7 linked regions of the Sus scrofa genome follow. The protein of the gene in region 3 interacts with the protein of the main gene of each other region in a pairwise test. Links are inferred from orthologs where the notes say so. Each region holds a gene or a part of one and is shown on either strand. Other genes may lie near its edges.

Region 1 (4,042 bases), on a different chromosome or scaffold from region 3:
AATCTCAGGGGCAGGAGTTCCCGCCATGGTGCAGGAGAAATGAATCCGAGGAACCATGAGGTTGCAGGTTCGATCCCTGGCCTTGCTCAGTGGGTTAAGGATCCAGTGTTGCCAGGAGCTGCGTAGGTGGCAAACTCAGCTTCGACCTGGCGTTGCTGTTGCTGTGGTGTAGGCCAGCAGCTACAGCTCTGATTAGACCCTTAGCCTGGGAACCTCCATGTGCTGCAAGTGCAGCCCTAAAAAGACAAAAAGAAAACAAAAAGTCTCAGGGGCAGATAGAAATAAAGTGGCAGGGCATGTAGTACTGAAAGAATGACCCAAGATGGCTCCTACCCAGCCCCTCCAAGAATTTTATGCTCTTATTTTTCATCTTGTACCTTCACACCCAGCCCTCTAGAGACCCCGATCCAGTCAGTCAACCCACGGGTATAGAACTGAAAGAAAAGCTATGCTCCCAAGATAAAAATAAGTTGTTTTTGTTTGTTTTGGCCACATGTGGACGTTCCCAGGCCAGGGATTGAACCCATGCGCCGCAGTTCAATGCTGGATCCTGAATTTACTGTGCCACAAGAAACTCTGAAAGTAAGTTGTTTTGATTTTTGTTGCCACACGATGGAAATCTAGAGGCATTTAACATGAAAATATTGTTAACGCCTAGAAGACAGGTTCCACATGAATATACTTCAAGTACATCAGTGTTCAAATAAGCTGTTGTTTAGTATGGAAATCTAAGAATAACATTAAAACCTCAAATACATTTCCTTAAAGAGAAATAATTAGACTAACATACATTTATAATACAATTTGTAGCTGGGAAACACTTTTACTAAGCTATGTAAACCTTATTCAAATGCATTTATAATACTCAAAAGCATACCATGTCAAAAAAAAAAAAAAATCATAGGGCAGTCTTATTAACATTCCCCCACTGCCTCAAAAATTTTATAATTCAATTTAAGCATGTTCAAGAAAAAAAGTTAAGTCAATCGGAAAAAAAAAAAGACAAACCTTTACACATAAAAGTCAGTACCTGATCCATCTGTGCCTGAACCAGATCTGACAGACCCATCCGTGAAGGAAACAGACTCAGAATCAGAGTCGCTAGCCTCACTTCGAGTATCATAATCATTTCCCTCTTCCTTCTGGTCTCTCTCATCCTGTTCATATTCTTCTTCTTCCTCCTCCTCCTCCTCCTCCTCCTCCTCCTCTTCCTCCTCCTCCTCCTCTTCCTCCTCCTCCTCCTCTCCATCTTCATCCACCTCTTCATCTTCTTCTGCATCTTCTTCTACCTCTTCATCTTCCTCCACATCTTCTACCCCTTCCTCCTCATTCTCCGTGTTGTTGCCTTGCTCATCAGAAGAACCACTGCTGCCAGTCTCATGATCAGAGCCATATTCTTCAGAGTTCACTTCTTCCTTAGAAGACTGGCTGGATCTGCTTGCACGTCTATCCACTTCAAGCCCAATTCTCTGATGTTTAAAGAAAAAGGGAATCAGCAGTCATATAACAGACAAGGTCAGAGTGAATAAATAGTTCTAGCCTCAAAAAAGAATTGCTTTCTGTCTTATATCTGTAATAGTATTTACTACCTCAGAACCATCTGGTGTAGGGGATTTGACCCTCCTTTCAGAATCCCTTTTCCGCAGACAAGTTTTTTCAGGTTGACTCTTATAAGGTTCTCTGGAGGCACTGCTTGACAGACGAATCTTCCGATCAGCTTCTATACGCTTGTTTCTTTCAGATCTTTGATACTCCTCATTTTTATACTCTGTGACTGACTTTCCTTTTGTACTAGCCATTCTTTTGTTATTGCTAACTGATGAGCTCAGTGGCTTAGAAATCAACTGTCTTGAATGAACAGAAGGCTTCTGTCGCTTTGTGTCAGTAGACTCCATTCGGTCACTTTTTCTTTTTGATCCTTAAGAATAAAATTTAAAAAAAATATATAAAAGAGTTTGAGTATTTGACTTATTTCAACAAAGTTTAACAGGTAAATCTATCGGAGGAAAAAAGTCTCATTTCTTTAAAATGTCCTCTGAAGTATTTTTACTCCAAAGTTAATCATAAAGAAAATACAGCTTTCAAGCACTGGAATAAAATCATTTATTTGAGACATTTCAAAACTTTAAAAAAAATATATTACTTTTATACGGAATTGGGTACCGTTTGTTATGATTGTGCTTTTGGTGTTAAGCGCCATAAAGAATAAGTACAAAAGCAAAGACTCTAAGAAATTAAACTGCTATTTACACTGCTATTTTTAACAAAAATAAATCTTACATACCCTTTTTCTCATTTTTATCTTGTTCACTCTCTGGATTATATAGTTCATCATCCTGTTCCGGTACTTCAGTCAAAATATCATCTAGAACATTAAGTTCTCCATCTGAAAGCAAGAAAATTAAAAGTAATAGGGAAAAACCATTATTGTCAAGCATTTATTTTTGAGTATTTACTATGTCAAAACTACAGAAATATGGGAGTTCCCGTCGTGGCGCAGTGGTTAACGAATCCGACTAGGAACCATGAGGTCACGGGTTCGGTCCCTGCCCTTGCTCAGTGGGTTAACGATCCGGCGTTGCCGTGAGCTGTGGTGTAGGTTGCAGACGCGGCTCGGATCCCACGTTGCTGTGGCTCTGGCGTAGGCCGGTGGCTACAGCTCCGATTCCACCCCTAGCCTGGGAACCTCCATATGCCGCGGGAGCGGCCCAAGAGATAGCAACAACAACAACAACAAAAGACAAAAAAAAAAAAAAGACAAAAAAAAAAAACAAAAAAACTACAGAAATATGAGACCATAACCTTCAAGGAGCTTTTATTTCAGGATCAAGACAAGAATAATTCCTATAAAATCATACAAGGTAAAGGATATGATACAGAGCTCTAATCTATAAACCAGAAGTATATTCCCCACAGGGTATAAAAGGATACACTGGGGTACAAAAAAAAAAAAAAAAGTGAGAACTTCTGTATTTTTATCTCATCCTTTAATTTCTAATTTTTGTAACTGCTTTAGAATGTGCACAATAAGTTAGCTAAAAAGACACGTGCGTAACTTTTAAATAAACATACATTCATCAAAGATTGTGAACTCTGGGAAAAATACTTATTGGTTACCATTTTATAGTGGAGAAATATGGCAGACTCCAGCTTAACCAAGTAATCAAGTTAACTCTCCACTAACGGGTCAAATCAACATCATGGACCCCCTATGTGATACACTATGAATAGAGCAATTCCATGATATGCCTATGCAAACTGCAAAATCTGAACCTATACATAAGGAAACAAACCCAAATTAAGGGGCATCCAAAAAATGCCAATGTTATGAAATACAAACACTAAGGAAATAACTTCAAATTAAAGGAGATAACTAAATACAGGGAGTTCCCATTGTGGCTCAGGCTAACCAACCTGACTAGCATCCATGAGGACACAGGTATGATCCCTGACCTCTCTTGGTGAGTCAAGGATCCGGCATTGCCATGGAGCTGTGGTGTAGGCTGCAGGTGCGGCTCATATCTGGGGTGGCTGTGGTGTAGGCCAGCAGCTACAGCTCTGATTCGACCCCTAGCCTGGGAACTTCCATATGCTGTGGGTGTGGCCCCAAAAAGACAAAAAAAATAAATAAAAATAAAAATAACTAAATATAGTACAACATCTGGGACGTAAGTGGAAAAACTAGTGAAATCTAAATTAGGTCTATAGATTACGAGTAGCAATGTTAATTTCCTGACTCTGGCAGTACTATAGTTAAGAAAAAGAGCATCCTACTTTTTAGGAAATATGTTAATAGTATTTAGGGGCAAAGAAGCAACATGTACACAAATGACAAAATGGCTTAGGAAAAAAAAACATGTCTACCTGCATATATCCACATACATATACTGAGACAGAGAATATATAGAAAGAGGGAGAAAGAGAGAATTGGAAAGACAAATGTAGTAAAATGTTAACATTTGTGGAATGTAGTTGAAAAGCAAAAGAATTCTTTGTGCTATTCTTACAGCTATCCTGTTTGAAACAATGCCAAAGTTAAGTT
Region 2 (4,823 bases), on a different chromosome or scaffold from region 3:
ACTTGTTTTTTGTATTTTTGCTCCCTGTACATTCTTACCACACATTTTTTTTTTTTGACTTCAAAAGAATGACATCTTTAGAACTGTTTTAGAGCCAAGGATGGTATATGTTTTAGATAATTACTACATTGTTCTAAATATAACCATGTAGGAGTTTCCTCTTGGCTCAGTGGGTTAAGGATCCAGTGTTGTCACTGCTGTGGCTTTGGTTACAGTGGTGGAGCAGGTTCAGTCCCTGGCCCAGGAATTTCTGCATGCCATGGGTGTGGCCAAAAATTAAAACAAACAAATATAACCATGTAATTTTTTTTTTTATTTTTAGGGCCGAACCTGCAGCATACGGAAGTTCCTGGGCTAGGGGTGGAACTGCAGCTGCTGGCCTATACCACAGCCACAGCAATGCAGGATATAAGCCCCATCTTCAACCTACACCATAGCTCATGTCAACACCAGATCCTTAACCCACTGCATGGGGCCAGGGAAACCCACATTCTCATGGGTAGTAGTCCAGTTCTTTTTTTTTTTTTTTTTTTTTTTTTTTGTCTTTTTGCCATTTCCTGGGCCGCTCCCACGGCATATGGAGGGTCCCAGGCTAGGGGTTGAATGGGAGCTGTAGCCACCAGCCTATGCCAGAGCCACAGCAACGTGGGATCCGAGCTGTATCTGAGACCTACACCACAGCTCATGGCAATGCTGGATCCTTAACCCACTGAGCAAAGCCGGGGATCGAACCCACAACCTCATGGTTTCTAGTCAGATTCGTTAACCACGGAGCCACGACGGGAACTCCAGTAGTCCAGTTCTTAACCCAGTGAACCGTGCAGGAACTCCTAACCATGTAATTTCGAATTTAAATAAATTTCTATGCTGAAATAAAAAAAGAAAACACGGTCACACCTATGATTATGCACAAACTTGTACACGAATGTTCATAGCAGCAATATTCATAATAGGCAAAACATAAAAACAATTCAAATGTCCATCAGTTAATGAATGGATAAACTAAATGTGGAATATCCAAATAGTGGCATATTATTTAGTACTTCCTTCAGAAAAAAGAATGGAGTTCCCTTGTGGCACAGGAGGTTAAGGATCCCAGGTTGTCACTGCAGCAGCTTGGGTCACTGCTATGGCAAGTGTTGACTCCTGGCTTGGGAACTTCCATATGTGGTGAATGAGGCCAAAAAAAAAAAAAAAAAAAAAGAAGAAGAGGCCATTGCAGCATTCCCGTTGAGATATGATGGTAGGCTGGAAGCAGAGAAGATTGAAGAGAAGTAGAGAAATTTCAGATTTATTCGTGAAACAAACGGACCCTTCCCGATGCTGGAGCGGGAAGAGGGGAAGGTGAAGGAGAGAGCCATCAAGGATCACCTCCGGCGTTTCTGCTTTGTGCAATTCGACAGATGGCGGAGCTATGTAGTTGATACAGGGAATCCTAGGAGAGATTAGAAATCTCTGTATTTCTCCCAAGAATGTTTCTTTACTTTCTATGGACGCTGACAGAGGCGGCAATATTGAGTTTTAGGGTGAATATCGGCAGCTCCCCGCCCTTCCTTAAGCTGTGTATATATATCTGTACAACATTTATCATGGTATATTTACTTTATAAGGTGTGGCACCCACTGGACTAAGAGCTCAGAGGTCAAGGGTTGAATTTCCTCTAGGTACTCACGAACTTGCTCTGAAGCTGGCCCCGCCCACCCATAGCCCCGCCCCCAGGCATTTCCGGCCCGCTCGCCCTCTGCACCGGCCTCACCCCAGAGCGCCCAGCTCCGCCCCCACTGCAACCATTGCCTTTTAGCCTAGTGGGGACTAGAGTGATTGACGAGCATGTTCTCCAATCCTAAAGCCCAATGTTGTTATATTACCAATTCGGAGGCAGCAGAGGCGGATGCCAAAGCCTAACGTGAGAGGGTGATCGGGAAGTGAGAGTGGAGGCTGCGGAGGACGCCTCCGCCCAGGCGGTGGTATAAAGCTGACGGGACGTCAGTATTCTGTTCCTTTCTTTCTCCATTCCTGGGTGAGACGCCCCTTCGTTGCTGGGGAGCCGGGGTCTCCACTTGCCTTTTTTAAAGGGTAAGAGGGTGTGTCTAACTATATAAGCGTTTGAGGATCTTTCCTGAGCTGCCTTACCTCCTTTCGCCTCCAGGCAGGTCCTTCTGTTAGCCTGGGGTGCGGGGTCCTGTCTCCCGTCACCCATCCTTGGGGATGGTGAAGTTGTTTCAGATCCCTCCGCAGCCTATGGTGGTTAAAGTCTTCCGGGCTCGGTCAAGGAAAGGGAGAGGAGTGATGGGGATAGCGAGATTCGCGCACTCAGCCCCTCTCCCGAGGAGTTAGAATCCGCAGCCAGAGCGAGTGGAAGGTGGAGGGAAACTAGGTATTGGGGGCGAAGGAGCGGGTGGAAGGAGACATTTCTTATGTAGCGAACCTGTTAGTTCCCTGGGAGCCTACAGTGGGGCAGGAGGCGTTGAAGTTGGGCTTGGTGTCTAAATCACCCACCCACTTCTGGGCCGTCAGCTTTTAACCTTCATTTCTTTCTCCTCAGGCTGGTGAAAACCCCTGAACATGTGGAATCCCAATGCCGGTAAGTGTTTGGGGAGAATCTCTTCTCCTGCCCCAGTCCCTTTTCGGATGGGCCACAACAGGAAGTTTGTGTCCGTTTCTCCTCCACCTCTGCCCTAACCTACAAAAAAGCAAAGTCCATAGCTGCCCAGTGTCTTCCCCCAGAGTTCACTGTCTCCAGGGAACGTTACCTTTTCTTTCTCTTGTATAGGTTTGTCTCCCCTCCCCTCCATGCTCCTCTTTCTTCAGCTTTACATTTTTTCCCCCCTAGGGCCACACCTGCGGCATATGGAGGTTCCCAGGCTAGCGGTCCAATCGGAGCTGTAGCTGCAACTGCGCCACAGCCACAGCAACGCGGGATCCGAGCCGCGTCTGCGACCTACACCACAGTTCACTGCAGTTCCTTAACCCACTGAGCGAGGCCAGGGATCGAACCCACAACCTCATGGTTCCTAGTGGGATTCGTTAACCACTGAGCCACTACAGGAACTCCTCCATTTTCCTTTAAGTATTGAGTGAAAAATGGAATCCCCTTCTTTTTGTTGTTTGTTGTCAGAAGCTCTGGGCAGTTCTAATCTTAAATTTATTCTTTGCTTTTTCCACCAGGGCAGCCAGGGCCAAATCCTTACCCGCCTAACGTTGGATACCCTGGAGGTTGCCATCCTACCCATCCACCATCTGCCAACCCTCCCTTTCCTCCAGGCCCCCTTCCCACTCCTCCAGGAGTGCCCCAGGGGAATCCAGCTTTTCCCCCTGGCGGGCCTTGTTATCCTGTGCCACAGCCAGGGCATCCAGGATGCCAGCCCTCAGGTCCCTACCCACCACCTGCCCCTTGCATGCCACCTGTGAATCCATTGGCTCCTGGCATGGTAGGACCAGGCATGGTGATGGACAAGAAGATGAAGAAGAAAATGAAGAAAGCTCATAAAAAGAAGCACAAACACCACAAGCATGGCAAGGTCAGTGCCCTCTGGAGCCTGGCTAGGAAGAGGTGCCCCCTCAGAAGGACTAGGGTGGCTGGAGGTGGGAAGAGAGGTAGGTGGCAGGGACAAGGAATGGGGATTCACAGTCTGAGGACTTGGGACAGGGCATTGTGTTACTCTGGCAGATGGTGCTTCCTTTTTGTAAAGGATTCCCACTGCGAAGAATTTAATAATCTTGAAAATAATTATTAGGCTAATTGGGCCTTCTGTCTGCCAGGGGCTATGTTGAGCCTTAGAATGGCTATCAGAATCAGGTGCTTTTCTTTTTTGCCTTTCTTTTCCCAGAGCTTTGGCCTCCCCACCCCCATGCTTGTTCTGGCAAGTGGGACACACCCACTGAGGTGGTCAAATGTCAAGACCTTTGGCCAAGCAAAGTCTTATGTAATGATAGATAATAATCTGGTCCTAGTTCCTGGAATTTCTTTCTCTCCTTCACTGTTCTCAGCTTGTTGTATTAATTACGTAGGTCTTCTTGTCCAGCAGGGAAACTGAGGACAAGAGCAGTCAGTGACTCAGGCTCCAATAAAACCCTCAATTTCGTGCTCAGTCTCAGGCTAAGTATCTTCATGCCAGAGGAGTGTAAATTAGCAAGTAGCTCTCAGGACCAAGTAGTAAAAGTAGCTCTCAGAACCAACTCTGGAAGAATTGAACCAACCTTGAGATATTTAAAAAAAATTTTTAGGGCCACACCTGAGGCATATGGAAGTTCCCAGGCTAGGGGTTGAATCAGGCACCACAGCCACAGCCATGCTAGGTGCAAGTGGTGTCTGCAGCCTACAGCGCAGCTCACAGCAACGCTGGATCCCTAACCCACTGAGTGAGGCCAGGGATTGAGCCCGAATCCTCATGGATTCTAGTTGGGTTTGTTACTGCTGAGTCACAACAGGAACTCCCTTTTTTCCCCCTTCTTCTTCTTTTTTTTTTTTTTTAATTTTTAGGGCAACCTTGATCTTAAGGAGGCCTTAATTTACATTTTTCTGCTTAGCAAATTTTTTTTTTTTTTTTTTTTTTTTTTGTCTTTTTGTCTTTTTTGTTGTTGTTGCTACTTCTTGGGCCGCTTCCGCGGCATTTGGAGGTTCCCAGGCTAGGGGTTGAATCGGAGCTGTAGCCACTGGCCTACGCCAGAGCCACAACAACGCGGGATCTGAGCCAAGTCTGCAACTTACACCATAGCTCACGGCAACGCCGGATCATTAACCCACTGAGCAAGGGCAGGGACCGAACCCTCAACCTCATGGTTCCTAGTCGGATTCGTTAACCACTGCGCCACTACAGGAA
Region 3 (4,533 bases):
GCTCCTCTGCAAGGAAAAGAACCTGTCCAATCTATCTTACCCAGAGAAATGTTCCCCTCCCACTGCCCTTTCCAAGATTTCCATCCCTGAACTTCTGTACTTTTTGATATTCTGAACAATAACAAGTCCCCAACAAAGCAATCAGGTCCTCAGAAACCAGCAGGGCCGAAAAGGGGTCGCCCACCCCCATCTTTGGACTTTGGAGTGAGAACACTCCTTTGGAACGCTTTGTTCCAAAGAGCTGAAACTACAGGACGCCCACTTGTTCCTGTGGACAGCTCATCCATCCTTCAAAAGACTGTGCGGGAGGGAAGCGTGGGTTAGAGTGTCAGAGGAATAGCTCCTGGAAGGCCAAATTAGCCCAGAGAAATGGTGAGTCGGAAAGGAAGAGGCTGTTGCTAGGCCACCAGCATGTACTCCCCTCCTCTCAGGCTGTACTGCCTGCTGGAGGAAAGCTGTGGACTTCTTCAGTGGATGCAGATACACTCCCGAATCCTTGTCCAGGAGGGGCAGAGTGGGAGCAAGGACCTCAGAGGCAAGCAGGATGGGTTCAGACTGCTGCCTCTGATTTAGCAGAGCAAGCATGGACATGTCCTTTTGGCATGTCGTTTATCTGTAATATGCTTAACAATACTTGCATCGCAGTGTTATCGTAGAGATGAAAAGCTTCTTAAAAGAGATAAGACATATATGGGAAGCACTGGCACATAAAGGGTACGCAGTAGTCATTAGCTGTTGTTCATGCAGTACATTTACTGAGTGCCTAAGTCCCAGTACTGTTCTGGGTACCAGTAATTAGGCAGGGAACAAAAGAAAAATCTGCCCTTGAGTGTCACGTCCTAGCTGAATAAGTAAGTGCCTGTGCAGTGTTAGGTGGTAGGACGTGATGGGGAGAAAGATGAAGCAGGGCGGGGGCGGGTGGGGGAGGTAGACAGAGCCCGGAGGTCCCGAAGAGCCTCCCTGCTGGGTGGGGGAGATGGGGGTGGAAGATGCCTTTTGAGTGAAAGTTTCAATGGGGAGGGAGAAGCGTTGAGGCTGAGGGCACAGCCACGGCAGTGGCCCTGAGGTGGGAGTGCCTGTTGTGTTCAGGAAATATCTGAGCAGGGAGACCAAAGTCGGTTGTTGAGAGGGGAAGCATAGGACAGGCGACTGCAGGGGTGGTGAGAGGGGCTAGATCCAGCAGGGCCTGTGGGTCATGCTGAGGGCTTGGCATTTACTCCAGCGAAATGGGAGGCACTGGAGAATGTTGAGCAGCAGAGTGACGTCTAACTTTCATTTGGAGGATGGATTAGAGGGGCCCAGTGGGCAGGGAGCCCAGCTGAGAAGTGATGCGGGGAGAGCTGGTGGGAGTCTGGGCCAGCGCAGGGCCTGCCCGGCACACAGCAGCCCCATCTTAAGCACCATTTTCTGAGGCTCACTGTGTGGAGGGCACGTACGGGGCCCTTATATCCATTACCTCATTCAGTTCCCCCGACTGCGTGGGAGTCTCCACAGAGGAAACCAGCTCTCGGGTCAGGCCGCCGGCCCAGTTCCCCAGCAGGTTTTCCTGGCCGTGGCAGGGAGCTTGTGGATGGAAACAGCTTCAGGCAGAGAAGTAACAGAAACTGAGGCCTGCACTCGGCTCCTTGTGGAAAGTGCTCTTTGCCCTGCCAAGGGCCCATTTCAAGGAGCAAAGTGTGGGTCCCAGCCGCGAGCGCAGTCCCGGGCAGACTGAAGGAGCCTGGAGAGTCCTAGCCATGTCTGGGTGAAGATCACCCAACCGTCACACCTGGCCCGGGGCTGGGGTCAGAAGAGGAAACCCCAGTTCATGTTTCACTGCCAGAGAGAAGCACCCTGAGAGGAAAAGGCCTGAAAGTCCCCAAAGGGTTGGGACCAGGAGGGAAGAAGCCAGGAGAGAGCAGGTCACGCCGATCCCTTCCGGAGCTCTAGGGGCCCCGCACCCGGCTCTTACCTGCAGCCCAGGTGCTGCTGCTTGTCCTCCTCCAACCACTGCCAACGGAGTCTGTTCCTCTCCCTGGAAGGCGGTGGCCCTTGTTCCAGCTGGGTTCCTGCTCCCCGGTCAGCTGACTCATCCAGGACTGGGATGGGCCCAGGTGCGGCGTGGTGGCTGGGGCAACCTGCCTTAGGTCACCAGGTCCAGAGGAGGGCTGTGGCCTTAGTCTGGATGTGGAGGTGGGGATGGAAGCTCACACAGCTCCTCTTGAGAGGGGTGTGAACCAAGACTTCCTGGCTCGAGGTAACCGAACTTGGCTCAGACACGTAGTCCTGCTGAACATCAGGACAGATTGATGGGTCTTGAAAAGTGGCCGTACCTTGTGACCTACCATTTCCTTTTCTAGGAATTTGTCACAAGAAAATAAAACAAGTAGCCAGTGAGGTCTCGGGGGCCCATCACTGTGTTTCTTATAACAGGGAAATCTAGAAATCCCCAAATGTCCATTGCCAGGGTCTGGTTAAATAAGGCAGCCTCTGTGGAAGGTCATAAAGCTATCAGCGTTGTTGATAAGGAAGGAACCAGGAGGAAGTGTTCCGGCAAGATATGGAAAAGTCAATATTGTGATAATCAGCTTGTCTTTTGTTTTCATTTTTCCAAAAGTGAATAGATACTGCAAACTGTCTGGGAGGACAAAACTGAAAAGGCTGGAAATCCAGATGGTGGGGTGGGGTGGGGGTTGTTAGTTTGTACTTTTGTGTCTGTTTCAGGGTGGTGGGGTTTGGTTTTGTTAATCTTTACTTTGAACGTTCATGATTTTTGTAAGGAGGGGCCGCCAAATTAAGGTTAATTGTTTTTAGGAGTTCCCGTCGTGGCTCAGTGGTTAACAAATCCGACTAGGAACCATGAGGTTTCAGGTTCGATCCCTGGCCTTGCTCAGTGGGTTAAGGATCCAGCGTTGCCATGAGCTGTGGTGTGGGTCGCAAACGCAGCTTGGATCCCGAGTTGCTGTGGCTGTGGTGTAGGCGGGCAGCTACAGCTCTGATTCGATCCCTAGCCTGGGAACCTCCCTATGCCTCAGGTGCGGCCCGAGAAAAAGGCAAAAAGACAAAAAGAAAAAAGAAAAAAAAAAGATTAATTGTTTTTAGGAGGAATTTAGATGGGTTGTCTCCGGGAAGAAGTAAGGGGCTGAATGCTGTGGTGGGAGGGGCTTTTTTTCATAACATACTTTGGGGTGCCTTTTAAATTTTGAAAAAATTTAATGTATTTAACTATCCCCCAAAATCAATCAAACAGAAAAGGGGGAGGAATGTAGTTGCAGTCCCTGTGGGTTGGGTTGTACAGAGGTGCCTGGGGAGGGACTGGCCCTGGTGCTGGGCAGTCCCCTGAGGAATGACGCAGGGCAGCCGCCCAGGGCGGGGTGAGTGTTGGGGCTGCTCAGCAGGCCGGGTGGCCCATGTCACAGTCCCCGTGACGAGCCTGGGCAGAGACGCACCGGCCTTGGGCGCATGTTCAGCCCCAGAGAGGAGGCCCTGCCGGACTCAGAGGCTTCCAGCCGAGAGCCACACATGGGAGGGAGTCGGAGGGGGAACAAGAGCAGGAAAGGCAGTTACCAGCCAAGGAGCCCTCCCTGCCTGCAGAGCGCGGTGCTGTACAGTCACAGGCTTGGTGGCTCCCGCCATCCCGCAAGTAGGCAAGAGGCAAGGTCCCTTCTCTGAAGTCACACAGCTGCACATGGCTCCAAGGTCCTGTTTTCCGTCTGTGAGAAAAAGGCACCTAAAGCTGAGGCAAGGACACACCCGAGGCTGAGCCATCTGGGCCCGAAGCGCCGGGGAACCATGGGTGTGGACCCTCCTTAGGTGGGGTTCTCAAGGGCAAAGTAGAAAATAGAGACTGAACCAAGTGACACCCCACCCTCCACACACCTCAGTTCACCCAGTCGAGGTCTCAAGGGGCTTTTGGAGAAGATGGAGGAACCAGAAGGGTGAGGAACTTGCTTGTGGTCACCCAGCACGTCCGCATAGACTTGGGACTAGAACCCACGTCCTCTCACCCCCACCGAAATGCAGGGGCTCATTCCATTCCCTGGTGCTACAGCTGCCTCCACCTCTGACTTCTCCCCAGCCAGCCACCCAGAAGTCCTTTTTCTTGGCACGCCCTTGCTCAGAGTCTTCAGTGACATCCTGCTGAAGGGTCAGGGAGGGAGGGTCAGGGTCAGGACTAAGTTCGGGGGCCTGACAGTGAGCACTCCATGGTCCAGCCCCCTTATGACCATTTCGATTTTGTTCCCCCAACACGTCTACCCCAGCCAAGCCACATCCGCTCCACTCCCACCTCACACCATACCTTTGCCTGTGCTGCTGCTTCTGGGATGCCCTCCCCCTGCCCCCACTCGGCCTAGCCAGATCCACTGAGCGCCTCTTCCAGGAAGCCTCCTGATCCCCCACCCTACCCACGTGGCCAGATAAGACCGTCCTGTGGCTCTTTGATAGGAATCATCTTGTATTGTTCCCATGTCCTTAGGCTCCCAGTTAGACCCTAAGTTCCTTGAGGGTAGGGCCTTGTTAGTAGATCTACAGTGGCTGTTTTCACAATAAAAA
Region 4 (4,042 bases), on a different chromosome or scaffold from region 3:
GTGTCTGTGACCCACACCACAGCTCATGGCAACGCCGGATCCTTAACCCACTGAGCAAGGCCAGGGATCGAACCCGCAACCTCATGGTTCCTAGTCAGATTCGTTAACCGCTGAGCCACAATGGGAACTCAATACATTCCTTTTCTTATATCATCTTCCATCAGGGTCTATCCCAAGCGACTGGATATAGTTCCCTGTGCTATGCAGGAGGACCTCATTGCTTATCCATTCTAAATGATACATTTTTCCTCATTTCTTAGGCTTCCAAGGAAAGTAGAAGATGACAGATGAAGCTACTTGAGGCATTAGAAAGACCTTACCTGAAGCCACGCCTGCTGCTTAGCGTCGCCTTTGTGGGTTTTGCCTTCATACCCTTTGCCGCCATACTTCTGATCTTCACTTATGCATTTCACATGGTTTTTGTAGTCGTCACCCCTTAAAGTGTCAAAGTCCCACCATTAGTGATCCTCAAACCAGAGGCTCTGTCCAGCGCAAGCATGCTGCCCTTCTGCCGTGCAGCTCACCTTCCCATCTGTGCGCGGCCCGGCCCCCCATCTCTGTCACGTACCAGGCAGATAACCTCTTGGTCATACCAGTTTCCTTCCTCCCCACTGTTCCAAACCCGTCACCAAACTTGCCACCCATTTTCATATACAAAGGTGTTAAAATCACTGATAGGCAATAGGGTGGCGTTATCTTAAATGACAAAATCCGTAGGATTTCCTGGCAATATGATAGGCAATCAATACCAGTTGCAGAGTAAGTTAAAAGGGCGGTGATATCAGGTCACAAAAAAGTCCTGGATCTTGGAGTCTTGGGACAAAAGGAAACTTGGGTTCTGTCTCACACGCTCTTTCTGAAGCTCTGTGCCATCCTCTGGGAAATGCTGGGACAAGGCTGAGGCCAAAGCCCCCGACGAAAACCAACCCTGTGTTCACTTGTCTTCCCCACCCTCCGCCTACGATCAGGGATGAACAAAGACCTTAGTAGTTTCCAAACTTAAAAAAAAAAAAATCACTGCTTTACAATGAACTTAAAGGGACTCTTAGCAAACATCCCCCACGTGCCCCAGAGGCTGCCATCCCCGAATCCTCTGAAGCTGGAAGGAACCCGCACGAGAGGGAGGCGAGCCATCAGCAAATGGCCCCCCCAAACAAGAGCAAGACCTGGCCCCTCCCCAAGACCCCTCAGCCAGAGCCCCCCACGCACTCCCGGCCAACACGACCTCCAATTTTCTCGGGAGGACCTGGTCTCCTCTCTCATGATTTAATGATTGAATAAACTCATTTTCTGGTCTGCACGTCCATCTCTCGGCTGCGATCGCCACACCATGCCCTGAAACCCTGAAACCTTACTCCACGTGGTCCCCTCCCTGGATCTGGAGGGCCGCAGGGAAATGACAGCAAGTGCCACCGGCCGACCAGATCTCCAAACGAACCCGAGTCATCTCTGTAAATCACCCTTAAAAGCAAATGGTCTTGTAAGGCACTTGTAATTTTTTCCCTTCATTTCTTTCCTCAAGTTTGCCTCCACTTTTTTTTAATGCTTTGTGGGTCCAGGGCTTCCAAACTGGCCTGGACCTTGACCATGGAGCTACACGAACCCTCTGGAACTCACCAGAAGTCTTGACCGCAGTCGATGCAGGAAAGACATTCACAGTTTCTGCAAAGAGCCACATGCTTTTCCACTTGTATTTTCTTCACTGATTCACCGCATGCATTGCATGTAAAAAATACCATTTTTAGCTAAATGATTGATTAAATATTTCTTATCCAAGACAGGTTTTAAGTCTTGTTCTAGGGAAAAAAAAAATTAAAAAGGAAAAAAGGTAATTATCATTGCAATCTGAAACTTCTATTCCAAAATATATGATTCACACAGCTAACTTTTCATCGGAAAATAACACCAGAACAGAACCAAAGTTGAACAGCAATCCACATAAAACTCCACCACCACAGCAAGTAAAATTATCAACAACATGGCTAACACTTGTGTGTGTGAAGTAATTCATGCCGGGCCCTAGTCTAAGAGCTTAACAAGCACTAACCAACCAATTTAACCCTCGCAGCAACCCCTGAGGGAGGGACTACCGAGGCTCACACCTTACACGAGGTCCTGGGACTCAGAGAGGTTAAGTAACTGACCCAAGGTGGCACAGGGGCAGAACCAGGACTTACACTTTGTGGGCTGGCGCTGGAGATGAAGCATTGGGGGCGCGTCAAGTGAAATCTCCTGCCTTTTCCAGTAACTTGAAGGGCACACACGTGTCCTCTTTCTCTCTAATGCCCCGAGGTATGTGCTGCGGACTATTTCAGGCCCCCAAATACAATAAGGACACAGCAAACGGGGAGGTTTAAAAGTGGAGAAGAGGCCTAAAAATAACTGCACAAAAAGCATCCACAGAGGCCTAACAATGTCTCCACAGGTGTTAGAGCAGGACGCTCCCCTCGGTTTGACTGGACGGGCATGGCTATGGCCCCTTACTGGCTCACATCCAGGTGTCCCTAGGCCGGGCGCTGGGTCACTGGAGGGCGCCCCAAACCCAGGGCTCCCGAGCGCTGCCCCGTGGCTAAGGGGGCCCTCACATACACATAACTCCCATTCAGAAGTTTCACGGAGACAGGTGTGCTCAGCAAAACATGACTTCATCTGAAAGCATGCCAGAAGCCAGGGGACATTTCCAGGGTTACGCCATCTCCCGACCACTTTGTTCTGAAAGACGGCTGTCGTTTTGCATTGTAAGTATGGAGAACAACCGTCCGGCCCAGCACTTGCTTCCCCACCACGAAGGTCAGGATCAAGTAAACTGATACAGTATAACCTGTCTCAGGCTAGGACTTCATCTGTGGATGCTTCAGCACGAATGAGTTGGTGGAGAATTCTCCTGCGTGAATTCACCATCTCCCCCACCCCCCTCCCCGGCTCTGAGGCTCTGCCGCAGAGGGCACAGTGCAGCAAGGATCAGGGCTGTTTCCACGCACTCCGCCTTGAATGGAAATGTACCTCCTTGGCTGCAGCTGCAGGGTGAAAGAAGACCCGCCCTGGGGGTCTCTCCTGGAGGCCTCTTGCACCCAGGGGCCCTGCTGGAGGGCAGTTTACCTGGAAAAACTTTGTTTTACATACAAAACTCAGGCCCCTGACCCCAGGACCCCTTCCTCTGCTCACCATGGGTAGGTTAGCAGGAGAGGACACGTGATCAGCTACAGCCTAGCAGGGAATCCAGAGGAAAGCAAACCTGGCTGTTCTGGGAGCCACACGGACAAGACCACAGGCTGCAGTCACCGGCCTAGGCCACAGCCACGCCAGATGCAAGCCAAGTCTACTACGACCTACACCACAGCTCACAGCAACGCTGGATCCTTAACCCACTGAGCCAGGCCAGGGATCAAACCTACATCCCCATGGATACTAGACGGATTCTTAACCCGCTGGGCCACAACTGAGCCAGGACGGGAACTGATGGGGGCGGTTACCAGCAGGCGTCAGGAGCAGCCAGCGCCCCCTCAAGGAGAACAAAGGACAGAAGACGAGCCCACACCGCAACGGTGAAGGAACCAGCCGCTAGGGGCACTGTGGCCTAAGCAGGAGCGTAAACCATCAGTCACCAAGAAATGGACTGTCACTGTACACACAAGGCAGAAGCAGCTGCAAAGATGAGCCAAATTGTCTGCTGCAAAACTTAAAATGTACTTCCATAACGAGGTTCCACAATGAAAAAAATACCTGTCAAATGGAAGCTATGGCCTAGAGCTTTCCAACCCTCATTTCTGGGTCTATTCTGTGTCTTGATGGAGGGGAGAGGGGACAGGAGGAAGGCAAGCGTTGAGATGCCGAAGGGAGCTGCAGTCTGCGATGGAAGGTCGGGGGGACAAGCTGGAAACTACGTCTATCAACTGAAAGAAGCCAGAGATGTTGACCGAAAAGATGCCCGGAATATGTGAGAAACACGTTTTCCTCTGGGGATTAGCCACACGCGGTCACATCCGTGGGAAGAACACCTCTCCCTCCAACCCTCTCACTTGGTCTTTTGTGGCAGATGTTC
Region 5 (4,531 bases), on a different chromosome or scaffold from region 3:
AAAAAGCAAGGAAAAACAAAGATAGATTCATAAACAGTGAAAGCTGAAAGCAATTCAATTATGGAGATCATTCAGCCCATTACTCTTAATTGAAAATGAGGCTAACAGGGGTCAAGTGACTTGACAAGGGCTGTTTACAGTTTTAGCCCTATTGGTACCGGACCAAAAGACCAGTACTTACTCTACTGCCCCACACTGGTCTTTCAGTCAATAATCTCTAAAGTCCCTCCCAAATCATCTAAAAATAATAGCTAATATTTGAGTGCTTCCTATTTGCCATCAACCTAAAAGCTTCACTTGTCTTAACTAATTTAACTCCCTTTCTGACCTCCCTACAAGATAGGCAATTATTATTGCTATTTTACAGATGAGGAAACTAAGACACAAGAGAAGCTAAGTTAATCTTGCTCAAGATTACAAAACTATTACAAACATGACCGATGGAGATGGGATTCAAATCTTATTTATGAGCATTTTTTCTTTCTAGACTGTGAAATTCTTCCCAGCATGCCCACATCACCATATCCTTCAAATCTCCAGTGCTAAGCACAGTACAAAGCACACAGAAATTTATAACCATCTACTGAAATACTGAACTACTTAATTTTACTCTATTTTAAATTGTTATCAATTCAGCACATTTACTGGCATTTACATAAATGTCATTAATATAAATGTTATATATATCTGTACAAGGCACTTTATAAACCTTTCGATCCTTCAAATAGTTCTACAAAGTAGGTATCTTTTTTTTAAAGGAACAAAGTAACTTGTCCAAAACTCATAGCTAGAAAGAGATAAATCTTAGGCCAGTCCAAGAGCCACACCCACTTGTCACTAAACCAGCCTTCTCAACATAGTCCCTGTCCTCAAAGACCAATTACAATGCTGGATGATCAGTGCTAAAACAGTGATTAGGTTCAAAGTATTAAGAAAACTAGGAGCATTAAAAGGTGACAACTGGGTGGGCCTTTAAGGATAAACGGAAGTCCTCTAGCTGAGAATACTGTTCTTTGACCTCAATAGAACCCCAATCTATTGACATTTATTTTCTTCCAATCTAGCAGCCCTCTCCTTTTTCTTCATTTTCCTCCCTATCCAGCTTAGACTCCACAGTCCACCATTCAAACAATAACCTAATTTCCCTTTAATGCTCCCTCTTTATAGCCCACCTAACTGGCAATATCCCTACCCTTATGGAGTACAGCTGCAGATATCAGAACCCATTCTAGCTAGGGTTAAGCAGAAATGGATTTACCGGCAGGTATTATGTGACTTACAAAATTACTGAAAGAGCTATGGTAAGAACTGGTAGAACTTCCGAGGAACAATTCCTAACCCACCTAACAGAGGGTTGTCATGGCTCAGCGTTAATGAACCCAACTAGTATCCATGAGGACGTAGGTTCCATCCCTGACCTCAGTCAGTTAGTGGGTTAAGGATCTGGTCTTGCCGTGAGCTGTGGTGTAGATCGCAGACTTGGCTTGGATCCAACGTTGCTGTGGCATAGGCCAGCAGCTATAGCTCTGATTTGACCCCTAGCCTGGAAACCTCCATATGCCTTGGGTGAGGCCCTAAAAAAGAGACCAAAAAAAAAAGTTATGGCCATCATTGCAGAAAGTCACAACACCAAAAAGCTGGTGACTAAGAAACCCACTGCCTCTACTATGGTATTTGCCAGCAAAGGAGGATGCCTCTCACCCTCCTCCTTTCCCTTCCAATTCAATTCTCATCTTAGGTGCAAAGGAGTCTAGAAAATATCTACCTCTCAGTTCCACCAACACTCTATAGTCTTCATTGCTAACAACTCTCACCTCAGCGGTCTATTTGCATTTATCTCCCCTCCAATCTATTCAAACTACTGAGCCAGAAGGACCAAGCTGCCTCCTCCATCACACCACCTTCTCCACTGCAAAATACAAAATAAAACCTCAGTGATTTCCCATCAGTCTTAAAGAAAAGCTACAAATTCCTACACAGTCTGGCTTCCACTTGCCTCCAGCTTCATCTTGTACCACACTCCCCTTTATTCTCTTTGTCCTGGCAACACTGGCCTCTTTGTACCTTTTAGTCATTTTCCTCTCATTTGCCATTGGGCCTCTGCACATGCTGTTCTATATGGAATATTCTGCCCTCCTCTCTTCCCCCAACTAATTAGAATTCTTCCTTCAGGCATAGGTTCAGGCATCTTTTTGTTAGACAAGTCTTCCGGCTTATTTCTGGCACTCAAAACACCAGGTACCTTTCCCTGGCAGCACTTACTTTGCATTCCCTATAAAGATCATTGTTGAGCATCTGTTTTTCCCATCGGACTCAAAGCCCTGAGGTCAGGGACCATGTTTGGTTCACAATGTCTCCTCAAAGCTTTGCACCATAAATATCAGTTGAACGATTAAGGAGAAAACCTACTTCACAAGTATGAGTCTGAATTTCTCAGCCAAGACTGTGCTCTGGAGACCAAGAGTCGGACATTTCCTTCATCTCTCTCTCTCTCTCCCTCTCTCTCTCTCAGGGGCACAGAGCAGGCGCTGGTAAAAGGCTGCAGTATCACGGCAGAAAGAAGTCGGCCTCCAAAGTCTGAGACGACCCTGGTGGAGGCTGGGAAACTGACCTTTTCTCCCAAGGAGCACCTGGCACAGGGCTCGACACAGAAGGCGCTTGTTAAAGAAAGCAGCCGTCGAGGGCCCCAGGCAGGCGCAGAGACCCCACTGCTCTGCTCCAACCTAGAAAGGGAACCCAGGCCACCATACACCAAGAGCTAGGAACTCAGGGGCCCCCTCTGCCCTCTGCGATCAACCCTGGGCTGAGAGAGGCCAGCTTCAGACCACACAACGGAGGCGCCGCCTCCAGATTCCGCAGCCACCCACCCCCAACACTTACTCGGAGTTAGCGTCAGGTCTCCCCGCCGCAGCATTGCGCGAAACGCCAGAACCCAGTCAGCGCGCTTCCACCCACAAGACCCAGCGCGCCGAGGCGGGACTCCAGCTCGTTCCACCAATCCTGGAATCGTACTCTAGTGACATCAGAATGAGTTGCCCAATAACTGGAGACTCCCCAGGGGGCGGTGCAGAGGGGAGTATTGGAAGCCGATTGGTTTCTCCAAGCCGGAAGTTCTAAGGGAAAGACTAAGTCGGAGCCAATCGTGCGCTCCCTGAGGGTGTCGGCGCGGTCAGTGGCGGCCTGAGGAGAGCGGTTGCCGCCATGATAGAACAGCAGAAGCGCAAGGGCCCAGAGTTGCCTCTGGTCCCAGTCAAGCGGCAGCGGCATGAATTGCTTTTGGGAGCGGCGGGGTCGGGCCCGGGAGCCGGGCAGCAGCAGGCGGCGCCGGGAGCTTTGCTGCAAGCGGTGAGTAAACGAGCAGATGGCCTTCGGCCCTCAGCTCATCTTCCTGTCTCCTCAGTGCTCCACCGTGAGATCCCGTACCGGCCCTTTCCCTGCACTGCGGGGGCGGAACGGGACTCACACCAGGGAGTTAGAGCAGAAAAACCTGTTAAAGCGGTCAACACCCTGCGATGCTACGTTTCCCCGTTTGACGTTTCAGCGTCTCGATGGCCCTGTGAGGGGGCGTTAGAATTAGTGAGGGATCTTAAAACTGGGCCCCGGGCTTTCGCATCCTAAATCTTCCAGGGATCCAGCATAGAATAAACGTTCAGGAAAGTTGAAAGAGTGGATGGATGAATGAAGGAAGAAAGAAAGGAAGGAAATGAACGATACTAGCTCGCTTTGGGACTTGGGGCAACTTGCTTTGGGGAAAACTCTTTCTCTGCACTAGTATTAACAACTGAAGAATAGGTAACACTTATTGAGCCATGTACTAAGTGTTTTGTATATGAAAACTCCATTAATCTTGGTCACTGCCTAAGAGGTAGGAATTGTTAATTGTCCCATTTTGTAGATGGGGAAACAAACTTCTCTAATAAGTGATAGAAACCGATTTTAAAATCAGAATCCAGGCTTTTAACTAGAGTTCTTATAAGATAGAGGTAGTGATGGATGACATCTCTCCTTCTGCTCTATTAGGCTTAGCTGAAGAATATATGTCCCCTCCTGAAACTCCTCAATCAGGCTGTCAGCAAATCTTTGCTGGCACCATCCTTAAAATAAACCCAGATTTGTTACCACTTCTAAATATCTCCATCACTACCTCCTGATCTAAGCTGTTATTCTCTCACCTAGTATTCCTGCTGTAGGATCCTGATGGCATTCCTGTTTCTTTTCTCAGATGCTCATTCTATTCTCAGTCCAGCAGCCGGAGGAATCCTTCTAAACATCAAATCATGTTAACCTCTGCTGAAAACATGCCATGGCTTTTCGCTTCACTCAGAGTAAAACTAAAATCCTAACAACCTTTTGCCCTCTTTCCCTTGACCTCTCTGATCTACCAATTTTCCATTGCTCACCTTACTCCAGTCACATTGGCTTCTATGCTCCTACCACACACAAAGCCTTTGCATTTTCTTTTCCCACTACTGGAGTGTTCTTTTTCCAAATGTCCACCTGGTTTACACACTCAGCTCCTCCAAGTCTCTGC
Region 6 (2,952 bases), on a different chromosome or scaffold from region 3:
AGACAGTATCTTTAAAAAGAACACACATAACTCATTTCTGGATGGGAAGATTCAAAACTGTTAAGTACCACTTCTCTACAAATCAAACTATGAGATTTAAAACGATGCCAATGGAAATCTCATGAGAACGTCTCGACGAGAATTGACAAGTTCACTCTAAAGTTCTTAGGTATGGTGGGGCAAAGGTGAGGGGGAATGAGGTATCAATCATGCTATAAAACATGGCATGTGCACATGTATCAACAGACCAGATTCCAAAGAGATCCAGAAATATGCAGGCACTGAATTTATTTTAAAAAGACATTTTAAATCAGTGAGAATGAACCATCCAATAAATGGTACAGGGACAAGCGGCTATCCCTTTAAGAAAAAAAGTCAGCCATCTCCCATAATACATAAACTTCAGACAAGTTAAAAATATACTCACACACGCATATCTTTAACTCACCTGGTTAGCTTTTTGCATTTAGATGCATATTCATATATTTCTATTATGTGTGTGTACACCTACACACACACACAGAGTATACATTTAAGACTACACTAAGCAAGTGTAAAAGCAGGAAAATGAAGTGGTAGCCAGAGGACGTGGGATCAGTGACAGGTTTCATGGTTGTTTTTCAGATGGGAGCGTCTACAGCGTGTTTGATGCTGACACATGCAGTAGAGAGGATGGCAAAACCTAAAACTCACATTCGTCCTTAAACAGGAAGGGACAGGCTCCAAAGCACAAGAGGGAAAGCCCAAGTCCCACTGGAGCAAGCCCGGGCAGGAAAACGGCAGGAAGACACATTTGCAGGGTTGGTAATGGGGAGGCGGTAACTCCCTCCCAGGGCTACTATTTCTTCACGAAGTAAGAGCTGCGGTGAGTAACCAGAAGGGGAGGGGGAACTGGCAAACAAGAGAGTCTTCAAGTGAGACATCCCAGGCTGGACCTGCTGGGCAGTGCTGAGCAGCCACTGTGGTTTGCAAGTATGAATTTAAGGTCCAACGAGTGAGCCAGGTCGGCGGTCTTCCCTCACAGTTACTTGGGTTCAGGCACAGAGGTGTGTGACTGGGCTGACCAGGGGCAGGCTTTACGAATGAGCGTAATGGAGGGAGAGGGGGAGTCCAGGGTGCAGACACAGGGCAATGATGCTGCGCAAGGAGGGGAGACAGGAGAATGATGGTGAGAATGTTGCAGGGCCGGAGGACGAAAAAGAATTTCTGCAGAGGAAGTAGCTGAGCGGGTAAGCAAGAAAGCCAGGAGGTGGCGCCGGCACTGGTGTTTCGATTCAAATGGCACTGCAACTTCTAGTAATGTCAGGGGTCCGGAGTGACCAGGGATACAGGAAACAGGCCTAGAATAGAAGACAAGGGCACTAGTGACGGGGAGATCAAGGAACGAGGGGGCCATGGTGTGGAACAGCCCACCCATGGGATGCAGAAAACAGTATCAGAGGCAGGGGTAGAAGACTCCAAGCCAGGAGGTAAACCTCTATGTCTGAGCAGTGACTAAAAGGTCAATGCCAGCGAAGAGGAGAGAGAATGTACAGTCAGAGGGAAAAACCTTCCAAGGAGAAATGGGATGATGTGGTTTGCAAGGGGACTGAGCAGTGATGGTTGGAGTAGCCAAAGAAACCACCAACCAGGAGACGTACACAGCAGCAGGGAAGTGGGCACTCCTGCATCATGTGACTAGAAAGCCGGGGAAAGCAGCTTGCGAGGCACTGTGAAACTCTCCCTGAGTGTCTCTTGGAGGCAGGTGGGCACCAAGTCCCACTGTGATCCTGAATGCCTACACTGCCATTAACTGCAAGCAGGCAATGGGGGAAGGGGACACTCCCAGTTCTTAAGCACATGCAGGCCTGGCACTTACTAAGAGCCCAGTGAGCGGAGGAAACCTAGGAAAGATTCCAGCCATTCCTGCCCATGAGGTTACCACCAAAGAGCAGTTTGGGTTTTTTCGGCTTTGCCCGCAACAAGCTGAAGTTCCCAGGCCAGGGATCAAAGTCGCCCAACAGCCGTGATTTGGGCCACAGAAGTGAGGTCCGATTCTTAACCAGCTAGGCCATCAGAGAACTCCCAAAGGGGCCGTTTTTACCCACATGTCCCTCCTCCCTCCAGAGAGCCACTCTGACACCAGCTTAAGTCACCACCCACCAGGGGTTTAATTCTCCCATGTCAGAAGGTCAGTTCAGAGAGGGGCCCTGCCTTGTCCCCATCCAGGGGGAAAGATCTGCAAAGCACCCTGGGAATGTCCAAGCTCAGAGGATCCAAGGGCGAGTCTCAGCCAGAGGAGAAGTGGGTCCGGGGTCTCAGGCTGCCTCCTCCTCTTCGCTCTCCTCCTCACTCTCATGATACTGTCTGCGGTTGGTGTTAACAAAAAGGTCAGAATCATCTTCAGAGCTGGACTTGTCTTCTGACAACCGTGGCTCAGCTGGGAGTTCTGGCTGAGTCTGTCTGCGTGAGGGAAATGGACAGAGTTAGCCCAATGCCTTCTAGGAAAACCAGACCTTCTATCAAGGAGCGCCACAAAAAGGAGGACCATGTGGCTTGATGAGTCAAACAGGGAGCGAATCAGAGCGAAACAGGCTAATAACTACCTCTCCACCCCCAAGCCTAAATAAAGGTTTCTAGAGCTACTAATATACATACATACACATATTCTTTGGCTGCATCTGCAGCATTTGGACGTTCCTGGGCCAGGAATGGAACATAAGCCGTTAGAGTGACAACGCTGGATCCTTAACCTCCTGTACCACCAAGAAACTCCTAGAGCTACTAATTTTAATAATATCAACTCCAACTAACACTCAATGAACCCACGTTGCTTACCAGATAGTATACTAAGCACTTTTAGAACCAACAGCCTCTGTAATTCTTACAAAGCTCCCATTTTTACAGGCAATGACATCAGGCTTAAGAGATTAACCTGCTTAAAGTTACTCAGAACTGACAAAGCCAGGATTT
Region 7 (4,042 bases), on a different chromosome or scaffold from region 3:
TTTATATAATAAAATTATTATAAATTTATTGTTAGATAATAATATTTATCCCACATCCTTTTTTTTAAGATGTAATCATGTAAACTTAATGACTCATTTTAAACTGCTGTATACTGGATATATCAGATTATCAGATTTATTTATCCACTCCGCTAAGGAGGAATATCCAAGGTGCTTCCAATTTTTCATCAATAAACAGTACTGCAGTCAGCATGCCCGAATGGTAGGACTTCGTCTAGCCTGCATGACCGGAAGTAGGATGCCGATTTATAGGCTACACGTACCTTTAACCTTACTAGATTATCGACAAACTGCTCTCTAACGTGGTTTTATTAATTTACACAACTCGCCCACTCTTGGTATTAGAATGCATACTTTTTTAACTGATGGGTATGAATAACATCTCATTCGAATATGCACTGTCCCATTACTAGTGAGGTTGAATATCTGATCATTTGCCTTCGACAATGACAAACCTGATTTGGTTTTATGTCATGGTATAAAAAGGTCCTCAAATTTTCATACTAATACTTAGCTTTCATTTTCAAAATAAATCTATACTTTTACAATTTTGTTCCAGAGTATTTTTATTAGAGCATCCCACGAGAGGCAGGAGCCATACCGACTGACAGTTTATAACACCATTCTTAGAGGGAAGACTGAAAGGCCTCAGGAGGCCAATCAGCCACACCAAGGACTTTAGAGGTCATTTAAGCCAACAGTTCCTAAGACCTGTTATTAATTTTCTATGGTGAATTTGATATTTTGGAAATTTTTCTACTGAAAATTTATTAAACAGCTTTCCATTTATAACTGCCAATGTGATTAGCTGAACTTGGCTGACAGAATCCTCAACAAAAGGAAGCAAAACACCCCGTGGTTAGCAAGTGCGGCCGGTTGCACTCGCAACAATGGGGTGATTTCCACTGAGCAGTCTGAGGTTTTGAAAGCAGCTCCACCTCTAATTTCCCAGAAGCAGTATGATGTAGGGACCCCACAAGAACACTGATGGAGTACTTTCGGGATGAGGACAAGGTACGAAGAGGTACAGTGCCGTGTTCAAGAGCCCAGGACTAGCCAGCACACCAACTCCTCAGCAGTGCTTCTCATGGGCACCCAGATGCGTGTGGCTGGGCACTTCCGCTTGAGTGTTTATTGGCTGCAGCGAGAAACAGTATGAAGACAGGAAAGTGCACGCAACAGAAACAAAAGGTAAAGGGAAAAGAGCAACTGCCAAAGAATTTTTTAAAATCTTGAAATCAGTAGAAAGGATGGCCTTGAATCTCAAGAGTGCTGCTGGTTAGCAGTTGCTCTGTTCCTTGGCTGTTCCAATTCCCACTGTCATGTCCAACTAACAGCAAAAAAACAAACAAACAAACAAACAAAAAAAAACTTCAGAGCTTTATTCCTATCTTTCCCAAATTATGGGCCATTTCCCCCATCCCAACATAATGAAATCATTCAGGTTCAGATCGGATCAAATTGCAGACAGCAGAAGGCTTCCCTGTGTCAGGATTCAAGCCCGGGAGCAAGTCATTACAGCTGACTTGACTCTTGCTTTAAAGAATGTTAAAAAATAACTCTGTGTCATCTGAATGCCTTTTACCCCCAATGCTGCATCCCAAACTATTAAGAGAAGACAACATTAAAGGGGGGGGGGCAGGGGGAGGCGGAGATCCCGTCGTGTCACAGCGAAAACAAACCTGACTAGGAACCGTGAGGTTGCGGGTTCAATCCCTGGCCTCACTCAGTGGGTTAAGGATCCCGCGTTGGCCCGAGCTGTGGTGTAGGTTGCAGATGCGGCTCAGATCTGGCGTTGCTGTGGCCGTGGCGTCGGCCGGTGGCTACAGCTCCGATTAGACCCCTAGCCTGGGAACCTCCATATGCCGCAGGTGCGGTCCTAAAAAGACCAAAAAAGGGTGGGGGGGGGGCATCACGATTTACGTTCTTGGGTAGCCCAGAAGGAAGGACATGCACCTTGGGTGGAAGTTGCAAGCAGGCACGGTCAACACAATACAGCAAGGACAAATCAACAATCTCGGTGTGTGGAGTTAAGTTGGGGAATGTTCCACTGCGCAGGCCGGGCTCAGGGGAGACCGACCGTGGCGGGGAGGGAGGCAGCGCGTTCCTCATGGCGCCAGCCTCTGAGTGAACGCTGGGACAGCTATCGGCAGAGGACCTTATGCACAAAATGTGGCAGCTGGAAAAAAAGAGTTGGACCATAAAGGTACGGAATGGCTGAAAAGATCCTTTCCCCTGAGAACCCAGGAACCGGCATGCTGGGACCCGGTCATGATTTCATGTGCTACCTCCACCTTCTGGGCAACGAGGAGGGTGGAGAGGGAGAGAAACGGGAGTAAACCTTCCTTCCAACAGTGGGGGGCGCCGCACCATCACGCTCCGCCCCACCCAGGCCCAGGGCCTGTGCCCCAACTTTCTCAACGCCCCTCCCACCCCCGCGCTTCAGGGAGAAGTGAACCCGTCCGCTCCGCCACGCGCACTGCGCATGCCCACCTTGAACTGGACCACTTTGCCCACGTTCTTGAACTCCGGGAGCACGTCGTCGTAGAAGTCCAGGAACTGCTGGTAGGTTTCCTCCTCGCTGTACTCCAGGCTTGCGTCGGGGTCGTAGTCGTCCCTTCTGCACTGCTCCATTCCAAATGTCGTAAACATGCTTTTAATAAGAAGGGTGGGACTTGATGCCGGGAAATTGTGCTTACGTGAACACCTGCGTATGAAGGAAAAACTTGAGTGGTCCAGTGGCGGAAAATCGCACGTAAAAAGCTGGCTTTACACTCTGAGATGAAAAGGCTCAAGAAATACAGCTGTTTTGACAGAAGTGCCAGATGACAAGCCACATTCAGACTTTAAATTTCAACACTCAACAACACTGTTCTCAGGCTGACCAATTTATTGGATCTCATTAAAATGTAAAGCTGAGAATTACTTCCAAGCTCAGATGCCATTCGGCTGTCTTTTACTGAGGTTCAGGAGGCCTTTCACATGTGGCAGCACAGGGAAAGAGGAAGCTCATGGGCGTGACATACCCCGATGCCAGGCCCACAGACATCATGGCGGGGGAGGGGGTGGGGGCGCTCAGGAGAAGGTGACAACAGTGCTACCCTGGTTCCATACAACTGCCAACTAACCCAGCACTTAGAGAACAGGGTATTGTGAGAGTCTCAGCTAAATGGAGAGCATTCCAGAGTGTTCATGGCATTTTTATATTTTTTCCTCTGATCCTGCCAACTTGCCAGGACAGCTAAGACTAGTATTTAATTCACTTTGAAAGAAGGGAAGTGAAGCTTAGAGAAGCATAGGTACCCACGTCACATGGCTGGGGAGAGAAGATTCCAGAGCTAAGCCATAGTCTACTGCCTGTTGGTTATATGATGTGCTAAATGTCGAGTTGGGTTTTAATGAAGGTTAACTATTGTGAAGAGGAATTTTCTTTTCTTTTCTTTTCTTTTTTTTTGTCTTTTTGCCATTTCTTGGGCCGCTCCCGCAGCATATGGAGGTTCCCAGGCTAGGGGTCCAATCGGAGCTGTAGCCACCGGCCTACGCCAGAGCCACAGCAACGCCGGATCCGAGCCGCATCTGCGACCTACACCACAGCTCATGGCAACGCCGGAACCTTGACCCACTGAGCAAGGGCAGGGACCGAACCCACAACCTCATGGTTCCTAGTCGGATTCGTTAACCGCTGCGCCACTGACGGGAACTCTGGAATTTTCTCTTTTTTAAAAAAAAATGTTTTAATTATAGTTCGTTTACAACGTTCTGTCAATTTCTGCTGTACAGCAAAGTGACCCAGTCACACATACATATATATACATTCTTTTTCTCACATTATCCTCCATCATGTTCCATCACAAGTGACTAGATATAGTTCCCTGTGCTATACAGCAGGAATAATTTTCTTTTTGTAGTTTAAATGAGACCAGGTTGTAAGTGAATAATTTTTTAAAAAATCTTTTATATGAGTTTAATTCCTTATTACTTCCTTATAAAATAAAATAGAGAAAAATAGATTTCACAATTC

Evidence for each region.
Region 1: the proteins of SDCBP2 (region 3) and YTHDC1 interact in binary tests that used the Homo sapiens proteins (3 or more experiments, as listed by UniProt). The two-hybrid records come from large-scale screens. The link is inferred for Sus scrofa from reciprocal best matches to the Homo sapiens genes SDCBP2 and YTHDC1.
Region 2: the proteins of SDCBP2 (region 3) and PRR13 interact in binary tests that used the Homo sapiens proteins (3 or more experiments, as listed by UniProt). The two-hybrid records come from large-scale screens. The link is inferred for Sus scrofa from reciprocal best matches to the Homo sapiens genes SDCBP2 and PRR13.
Region 4: the proteins of SDCBP2 (region 3) and LYAR interact in binary tests that used the Homo sapiens proteins (3 or more experiments, as listed by UniProt). The two-hybrid records come from large-scale screens. The link is inferred for Sus scrofa from reciprocal best matches to the Homo sapiens genes SDCBP2 and LYAR.
Region 5: the proteins of SDCBP2 (region 3) and ZCCHC17 interact in binary tests that used the Homo sapiens proteins (3 or more experiments, as listed by UniProt). The two-hybrid records come from large-scale screens. The link is inferred for Sus scrofa from reciprocal best matches to the Homo sapiens genes SDCBP2 and ZCCHC17.
Region 6: the proteins of SDCBP2 (region 3) and EIF1AD interact in a two-hybrid assay, tested with the Homo sapiens proteins (3 studies listed by BioGRID and IntAct). The two-hybrid records come from large-scale screens. The link is inferred for Sus scrofa from reciprocal best matches to the Homo sapiens genes SDCBP2 and EIF1AD.
Region 7: the proteins of SDCBP2 (region 3) and ZRSR2 interact in binary tests that used the Homo sapiens proteins (3 or more experiments, as listed by UniProt). The two-hybrid records come from large-scale screens. The link is inferred for Sus scrofa from reciprocal best matches to the Homo sapiens genes SDCBP2 and ZRSR2.

Annotation. Positions count from the first base shown.
Region 1 is NC_010450.4:66,096,191-66,100,232, reverse strand, and holds part of YTHDC1 (YTH domain-containing protein 1), read right to left. Parts: intron 2,387-4,042; coding exon 2,285-2,386; intron 1,919-2,284; coding exon 1,590-1,918; intron 1,470-1,589; coding exon 1,031-1,469; intron 1-1,030. UniProt on the Homo sapiens protein: Regulator of alternative splicing that specifically recognizes and binds N6-methyladenosine (m6A)-containing RNAs.
Region 2 is NC_010447.5:18,658,959-18,663,781, forward strand, and holds the start of PRR13 (proline-rich protein 13), read left to right. Parts: upstream 1-1,855; 5' UTR 1,856-2,076; intron 2,077-2,132; exon of another isoform or gene 2,133-2,377; intron 2,378-2,545; 5' UTR 2,546-2,565; coding exon 2,566-2,584; intron 2,585-3,168; coding exon 3,169-3,597; intron 3,598-4,823. UniProt on the Homo sapiens protein: Negatively regulates TSP1 expression at the level of transcription. This down-regulation was shown to reduce taxane-induced apoptosis.
Region 3 is NC_010459.5:33,965,633-33,970,165, reverse strand, and holds the start of SDCBP2 (syntenin-2), read right to left. Parts: upstream 3,092-4,533; 5' UTR 1,952-3,091; intron 1-1,951.
Region 4 is NC_010450.4:6,084,219-6,088,260, reverse strand, and holds part of LYAR (cell growth-regulating nucleolar protein), read right to left. Parts: intron 1,797-4,042; 5' UTR 1,740-1,796; coding exon 1,618-1,739; intron 436-1,617; coding exon 321-435; intron 1-320. UniProt on the Homo sapiens protein: Plays a role in the maintenance of the appropriate processing of 47S/45S pre-rRNA to 32S/30S pre-rRNAs and their subsequent processing to produce 18S and 28S rRNAs. Also acts at the level of transcription regulation.
Region 5 is NC_010448.4:87,878,211-87,882,741, reverse strand, and holds the start of ZCCHC17 (nucleolar protein of 40 kDa), read right to left. Parts: upstream 3,016-4,531; 5' UTR 2,881-3,015; intron 1,916-2,880; exon of another isoform or gene 1,815-1,915; intron 1-1,814. Other genes in the region: SNRNP40 (U5 small nuclear ribonucleoprotein 40 kDa protein), read left to right, coding at 3,202-3,345.
Region 6 is NC_010444.4:6,337,437-6,340,388, reverse strand, and holds the end of EIF1AD (probable RNA-binding protein EIF1AD), read right to left. Parts: intron 2,443-2,952; coding exon 2,298-2,442; 3' UTR 264-2,297; downstream 1-263.
Region 7 is NC_010461.5:12,356,739-12,360,780, reverse strand, and holds part of ZRSR2 (U2 small nuclear ribonucleoprotein auxiliary factor 35 kDa subunit-related protein 2), read right to left. Parts: intron 2,729-4,042; coding exon 2,515-2,728; intron 1-2,514. UniProt on the Homo sapiens protein: Pre-mRNA-binding protein required for splicing of both U2- and U12-type introns. Selectively interacts with the 3'-splice site of U2- and U12-type pre-mRNAs and promotes different steps in U2 and U12 intron splicing.